Danio rerio: one gene and its partner. The protein of the gene in region 1 interacts with the protein of each later gene in a pairwise test. Links are inferred from orthologs where the notes say so. Each region holds a gene or a part of one and is shown on either strand. Other genes may lie near its edges. The genes, in order: topbp1 and cip2a.

Region 1 (3,831 bases):
TCCACCTGACTGGTTTTGGAGACGTATGCATCACCATACGGGGCATAAGAATAGGACATGTGTTAGGATATAACTCAAGTTTTTTGACTGAAATTAGACCTGAATTTAGAAATAGTTTTAAAACAAATCTTTGTTCTTAACAAACAAAATTAAATATGTAGGCTAAAGAATGTCTTCAGTGGAAAGCGTACAACACTGTTTCCTTTCCACGAAGAGAGAGAGTAAAAGTAAAGAGAAAGAAAATGAAAGGAGGCTCATTCTTTATCCTCGCGGTGAATAAGGTTTGATTAACTGTTTTATCGCTAGTGAAGCAGTCAGGTTTCCACTTACAAAGTCCACCACGGACACACCGTAAATGCTTATGCGCCGTGTGCCTAGATTGTTAAACTAGAGCCCTAAGACTTTGTAAGGCCTAAAATGTAGTTTTGAAAAATTAAAAGACTTAAGTCCTTGCATCTGATGCACATCAACAGAAATCATCAAAATCATTGTCTGTCTAAATTCTCAAGTGAACAACCAGAAAATGCAATGTATACTCTCAAGTGGTAAAAGCTTTGAGACAATAAGAGAATCAAACAGTATTCTGTGTAGTCTTGTTTTTATACCGTATGGCCTCTAAATTGCGACTGCGTCTGCTCATCCGCCCCAGGCTGTCCGGGGTGTGGGGAGAGTCCAGCCCCCCTGGGCCTGTTTTGGCCAACCGCGAGGAGCCTCGACGACCGCTGGTTAGTTTAGTGGCAGACATGATCTCCTGAAGCTGCCTTTGAAGACTTTCCCTCATCTCCAGTGTTTCCGTGAGATCTGAGGGAGGCACAATATAAGAAAATTAAAGGAAGAGTCAATTAACTTAAGATCAGTGAGAGAGAGAGAGAGAGAGAGAGAGAGAGAGAGAGAGAGAGAGAGAGAGAGAGAGAGAGAGAGAGAGAAAGAGAGAGAGAGAGAGAGAGAGAGAGAGAGAGAGAGAGAGAGAGAGAGAGAGAGAGAGAGAGATGTATAATAAATAAATCAAAGACATGTCTTTAAAGATGACTTGCTTTTCTTCTCGGTGCTGATGGTTTGATCTTTCTCAGGCTCTCCCACACTGCCTTGCTTAGGAGTTGAGACGTCGGTGATGTCATCATCAGGGCCCAACTTTAGAAATAAAGAATAAATATATACAAGATATAACCTTTAATAAAAACTTGATAAGCTGGGATTGATTGGTGGTAAAGTTATGAATGGTCACCCTGGTCTCCTCATTCTCAGCGAAAGCTCTCAGTCTGGTGCGGGGGGTGGCAGAAGGAGGTGATCTCTGAGTGGAATCTGCCATCTGACTCATGGTGAGGCTCATTTTAGGGTTGAATGTAAAAGGGTAGAGCGACTCCGACACATGCTTCTGCTCATCTGCACACTGAAAAAGGAATGGTGAGTGAATGTAATGAATTCCCCAGCTTTGCACTACTGTTAAATTATTTACTTTCAATTTTTAATGTCCATTATTAGGCAAGGCAAGTTTATTTATATACAGTAGCACATTTCAAACACAATAGTAATTCAAAATGGTTTACATAAACAAGGATAAAAGAAACTAGAAATACTCATTTCGGTTAATTTTGCAAACCAACAACCACCACTCGTTAACCCAATATTAATGATTAAGTGGTCAGATTAATATTAAATTATTATTTAATTTTAAAAAATAATTGACGTGTCTATTTTGTGTCTGACACGTTAAATATTGCATTTTAAAATACTGATTTATTTTAACATGCGAACATATTATCAACAGAACATCTCAAAGCACCTGCAGTGTTTCCAACAGCACAGAAAAAATATTAAACAAAATAAAAGGCTAAAAATAAATGCCTGCACTAGATATTTTTCACTTAAATTGCAAATGTAGATTACAAAACGAAAACACTTCGTGAATCCTTTTAAACCAGCATAGGCTATTTTTACTTCCATCAAATAAAAATAGCAGGCTACCTCAAATCAATCATTGAATCAATCATCAAATCAAAATTAATTCTCTGTGGCAGTTCTTATATCACAAACCACTGTCAACATTTTAATAAAAGTTTTTAGTTTAAAGATTATGTCTTGAGCTTCTAAATTTAACTTATTTAAGAGCTTCTCAGCTTTTACTTACTTTTTTTTTTCATCATTTACTTCGTCATTTATTTCTCAAAATCTTTCACAGCAAATGAATATTTTAGCATGGTGTAGTCATTTACATACATATAATAACTGGTAAGCACAGAAAAAAATCTTGAAATGGCCAAACAGGAGCTCCAACAGTCAATTTGTCAGCTTACAGTCATGTACACCTGTTGTATTGTGGTACGTGTCCTCTTTCTATGGTGTTAATAGAACATTAGGGGTTTATTTAATGGTTTTGATATTGAATTGTACGTGCTATTTTTTTTAGATCGTTGTCATTCTATTCAGAATACATTTTGAAAATTTTGGTGCATTTTCCCATCATCAAATGCTCAAAATGTATCTTTAATAATAGCAATATCTGAATTAAATACTTTGTAACAAACAACTGTTTTTATTACATGGTGGTGCAGTGGGAAGCGCTATCGCCTCACAGTAGAGATCTGCGCGGGACAATATTTTGAATCCCGCTCCTGCCAGGTTTTAGCCCGAACCCGACCGCTCCCGCATATATTAAGTATTTGTTGTCCCGCTGCCCGACCCTTCCCGTTTTCTTTTCGGAAATGAATAATAATAATAATATTGATTATTTATATTTATTTATATTTATAATGCAGACCTCTACCTCACAGCAAGAAGCTCGCTGGTTTAAACCTCAGCTGGGTCAGCTGGTATTTCTGTGTGGAGTTTGCATGTTCTCCCCGTGTTTGTGTGGGTTTCCTCCAGGTGCTCCGATTTCCCCCACAAGTCCAAAGACATGCGCTGTAGGTGAATTGGCTAAGCTAAATTGTCTGCAGTGTGTATGTGTATGTCCTAATCTTCCCACCTCATAAAAAAGATTAGATGTAACGAAACACCAACATGGTGCGGCTAAATATCAATTTCGATTTAAAATGGCCCTGGGAGTAAGAAAGTAACTGAAATTATTTGTATATTTGAAAATGCAAATACATTTTGACATTGTGTAACAATGAGGCAATGCTTTAAGTTTTGTTTTTAAACTCTAATGAATGCTTAATGTATATCTACTCATTAGGTAACTTCATATACTTACAGCCTGTAGCCAGTGTTGTGAAACTATATAGAGTCCTCTCTCTTTGACAGCTCTGTATTCTTTACTGTTGTCTCCCACTTTCCCCTGGTAGATGTAATGAGTGACCGAGTCGTCACAAGACCATCTGAAACAGAGAGCATGACATTAGACCCCATTGCTTTATCCTAAAACACATAATACCAGCATCTTAGCTGCCAATTAGATTTTTTGTTGATTTATTACCTTCTCAGTAACTTATGACTAGGCCACACAGAATCTGAGCGCACAGAAATCCACAGATTTCTGCATATTTTTAGGCCATCATTTAGTCTATTTATTTACTTGTATAAATGTGTGTACATTTATATTAATCCAGTGTTTAAATTGATTTCACTAATATTATTGAGATGTAATAATAGTAATATTAAAATGTTCATATGATTGCTTTACAATACAGATTGTAAAGTCATATTTTGTCTTTTAGTAGATCTATTATATGAGAGAATTTTGTTTACCAAATAAGTGGATCTAGTTGGATTTGCATTGTCAACTTTAAATAAAAAGTTAAAAAGGTATTGCTTTTTAATTCATATATTAAGTTTTTAGTTATGATAAATCTGCAGATTGTTTACAAAGTTCTCCAAAGAAATGGCAAAAAA
Region 2 (3,831 bases), about 19 Mb from region 1:
ATCAAAGCATCTCTAATATTATAACATGGATGCTTATGAACTCATACAGGCTGCGTCCGAAACCGCCTACTACTCAATAAGTACTGCAATTAAATTTAAACGTACTACTCGTCCGTTAGAAAAGTACATTCTATACAGTATGAATGTGAAAAATATGAATGGAATTCGGACGTACTACATCCGCCAGTTTGACATAGTCACATGACATACCTGTGTAATATACGTCGCTTTACTCCCATTCATGAATTCGCTCGCGGGGCATCATGGGATAGCGCAGCATGCATGGGATGCTCACTCCAGAATCTCGCCAGAAGTAGTAATTCTATGAATTCGGACATACTACTCGGCTTACATACTGATTTTAGCGTACTATATAGTATGGAAGTATGCGGTTTCGGATGCAGCCATAGTGTTGTTTTAAACACGGCATGTTAGGAAGTTAATTTTAAACCTCAAATTGAATATATCCTTATTTTAATGAAGCAATATTGATTCTTAAATCCCAAAATCAATCTTTTAGTCGAGGGGTTTTAAACTGAGTGAAAATAAAAATATTTTTAAAAAGTTACAAATAATTCAAATAAATCAAGTATTAAATTGCTAAAAATAATATTTATATTAATTAGTGGTGGGGCGGTTCACAATATCTGGTCATGGTTTTTGGTTTGATTCAGTTTACAGTGTTAAAAACAAAAAAACAAAAAAAACAAAAACAGATTGTAACACTTGTGTACTATTGGGGTGTCCAAACTCGGTCCTGAAGGGCTGGTATTCTGGAGAGTTCCAACCCTAATCAAACACACCTAAGCCAGCTAATCAAGGCTATCTAGAAACATCCTTGCAGGTGTGTTGAGGCAAGTTGGAGCTAAAATCTACAGGATACTGGCCCTCCTGGACCGAGTTTGGACACCCCTAAATTAGAAACGCTATACATCAGCATAAAATACATAGCCTTATAATAAAATTTTTATATAGTATTTTAGTTATTCTCAAGTACATGTATTCTAATTTCAGCCTTAAAATTTAATCGAGTATTTTGTTGTTGATTAATGGCAATGACCACAGTGCCTTAATTTTAGATACAAACTTTAGTCTTTTGATGTTGGCTTTTAAATGAATTCTAAATTGTTATAAATGAATCATAAAATGTTAAATATACTGTTTATTATCATTGTTTATCCTAAAATGTTGATTATTAAATATATTGTAATTTTTTCCTTGTGTTTTTATTTATTTTTATTCACTATTATGTTGTTTGTTTTCATATGTTGTATTTAATGTAAACATCACAAATACTTCGACAATAAATATGTAACATTTAAGCTAATTTAATGTAATTAAATGGCGGCCTGCTGACTTTTTGGGTAGGGCTGTCACCTCACTGCAAGAAGGTCACTGGTTTGAGCCTCAGCTGGGTCAGTTGGCATTTCTGTGTGGAGTTTGCATGTTCTCCCCGTGTTCACGTGGGTTTCCTCTGTGTGCTACTGTTTTTACCACAAGTCCCAAGGCATGCAGTATGTGTGAATTGAGTAAGCTAAATCGTCTGTTGTGTTTGTGTGTGTATGAAAGTGTTTAAATGTTTTCCAGTGATGGGTTGCAGCTGGAAGGGCATCTGCTGCGTAAAACATTTGCTGGATAAGTTGGCGGTTCATTCCGTTGTGGCGACCCCTTATTAATCGAGGGACTAAGCCGAAAAGAAATGAACAATTTAATTTAATTTAATTTAGTGAGTGAACATTTGATTATTAAAAATTTCAAATAAATATGTAAATGATTAAATCCTGCACTATAATGAGTAAAAATGCAATAATGTAACTTCACAGAATTTAAATAATTTCTATAAAATATTTAGAACCTATATACGAGTATTAGAACGTGAGTCTTACAAGACACTATATTATATAAATACATTTTATGAAGGGGTTACCTTACATGATGGTAATCATATATGTTGATATATTCATGGTATCCAAAAGATTACAAAAAAGCAACTGTTTTTGGCGAGAGACTTTGTGTTTTGATACTTTTACAAGAAACAGTCTCATATTCAAAAGCTGCCCAGTTTATCAGAAGATTAAACAAATTTTGATGCTCTGAAAATCAGTGTCATGTAGCATAACATTTACACGGCAAGTCTATAAGATCTACAGCTCTTTAGTCAATAGAGAACTCTGTAGAAGGTTAGTGAGGTTGTCAGTGATGTCATAATCATTTAATTTACTTCAAAAACATCAAATATAAAGATGATAGAAGTTATTAAAATCTATTTGTTGTTGTGGTCGTGTGTATAATATTTCTAATGGTCTCCACAGTGCCTCAATGTCCTGCAACGACTGACTTACAACGTGAGGACTCTGCATTGCGCCTCTCACATTCACGAACTCATCAGCTTCTTAATGCAACATGTGTAAGAGCCACAACATTCCCTCTTTTCTTGCAGATGTTTGTATGATGTGGATGAATCAGGCACTTTTGAGCGCAGCAGACTTCATATTGATAGTGTAGAATATTGATCTAAAATTCTAGTAGAACAGTTATAATGTAACAACACTGTTCTGATTCAAGTAAATATATTATTCTGTATTCTTTAAATACTTTAAGTGTTGTGGGTGCTAATGATGAAAAGAAATTCAACATTGCTAACACAAGAATAATTTAAAAACCTATTTTATTTTGTATAATAATACTTTGATATAGTATTACAATTTTATTCCAGTATTTTTGATCAAATAAATAGCATTTGAGGCTTTTAAAAATATCTTAACTGGCGTTGAGATGTATAAATGAATACTTAAAGTGTATGAATTAATACTGAAACTAGTTGTTAATTTGTATGCAAAACTGTTCTGTGGTGTCTTGTCTGAGAAAAACTTTTAGGTATTGCAGAGGAAGTAAGGGCTGTGTGTGTGTGTGTGTGTGTGTGTGTGTGTGGGGGGTGTGTGGGGGGTGGGGGTGGTTAGGGGGGGGTGGAAAACCACGAAACTTGTTCTGTAATTTTAATGGCGAGGGCTAATAGCTGGCAAGTAAAATACAAATTGTGATTGTACATGAAAAAAATACATCTTTTTTTATTATATTCAAATAATTTTAAAAGAAATGCTGAAAAAGTGTTTTAATAAATATCTAATATCTAATGCTTATGTTTGTCCCTAGCCAGTCCAGTAATGATGACATTGTAAAGGCCTGTCTGGGCCTGGTGGCCAACCTCTGTCGACATGACGTAACAGTGCAGGCACACATCAAATCACAGGTGAAAATCAACATCAACTCTCACTCCCACACTCTCAATGTGAACTTAGAAGTTTAGATGATTAATATTATCGCCTTTTTTTGCAGAGTAATGTGAAGGCGTTTTACAGAGCCTTGATTAATTTCCTGGGTCATAACTGTCTGACAGTAGTTGTCTTTGCGCTGTCCATTTTATCAAGTTTGACTCTTAACGAAGAGGTTGGGCAGAAGGTGAGTCAGGATGCTTATTTGTAGGTCGTTTGCTTTGTATCTTTTTGTCATCTGGTCCTGTGGCTGGAAACTTTTAAGTGGCCCCTGTTGTTGTTTCCATGTGTGGTATTGAGGTTGTATCTCTGTTTTTGCAGCTCTTTAATGCAAAGAACATTCATCAGACTTTCCAGCTAATTTTTAATATCACGGTCAACGGAGATGGCACGTTAACCAGGAATTATGCTGTGGACTTGTTAGTGGATCTCCTGAAGAACCCCAAAATTGCTGATTACTTGACTAAGTATGTTTGTGAGAGTTTTTGTTTGAAATGCGTTTCTTATTTCGGAAACTTATTTGTATCTTTCTCAACACTAGGTATAAACACCTCTCGGT

The links.
Region 2: the proteins of topbp1 (region 1) and cip2a interact in a two-hybrid assay, tested with the Homo sapiens proteins (2 studies listed by BioGRID). The link is inferred for Danio rerio from reciprocal best matches to the Homo sapiens genes TOPBP1 and CIP2A.

The regions. Positions count from the first base shown.
Region 1 is NC_133199.1:10,074,543-10,078,373, reverse strand, and holds part of topbp1 (DNA topoisomerase 2-binding protein 1), read right to left. Parts: intron 3,318-3,831; coding exon 3,194-3,317; intron 1,391-3,193; coding exon 1,226-1,390; intron 1,132-1,225; coding exon 1,035-1,131; intron 802-1,034; coding exon 606-801; intron 1-605. UniProt on the Homo sapiens protein: Scaffold protein that acts as a key protein-protein adapter in DNA replication and DNA repair. Composed of multiple BRCT domains, which specifically recognize and bind phosphorylated proteins, bringing proteins together into functional combinations.
Region 2 is NC_133199.1:29,181,015-29,184,845, forward strand, and holds part of cip2a (protein CIP2A), read left to right. Parts: intron 1-2,312; coding exon 2,313-2,407; intron 2,408-3,153; coding exon 3,154-3,250; intron 3,251-3,336; coding exon 3,337-3,459; intron 3,460-3,593; coding exon 3,594-3,739; intron 3,740-3,813; coding exon 3,814-3,831.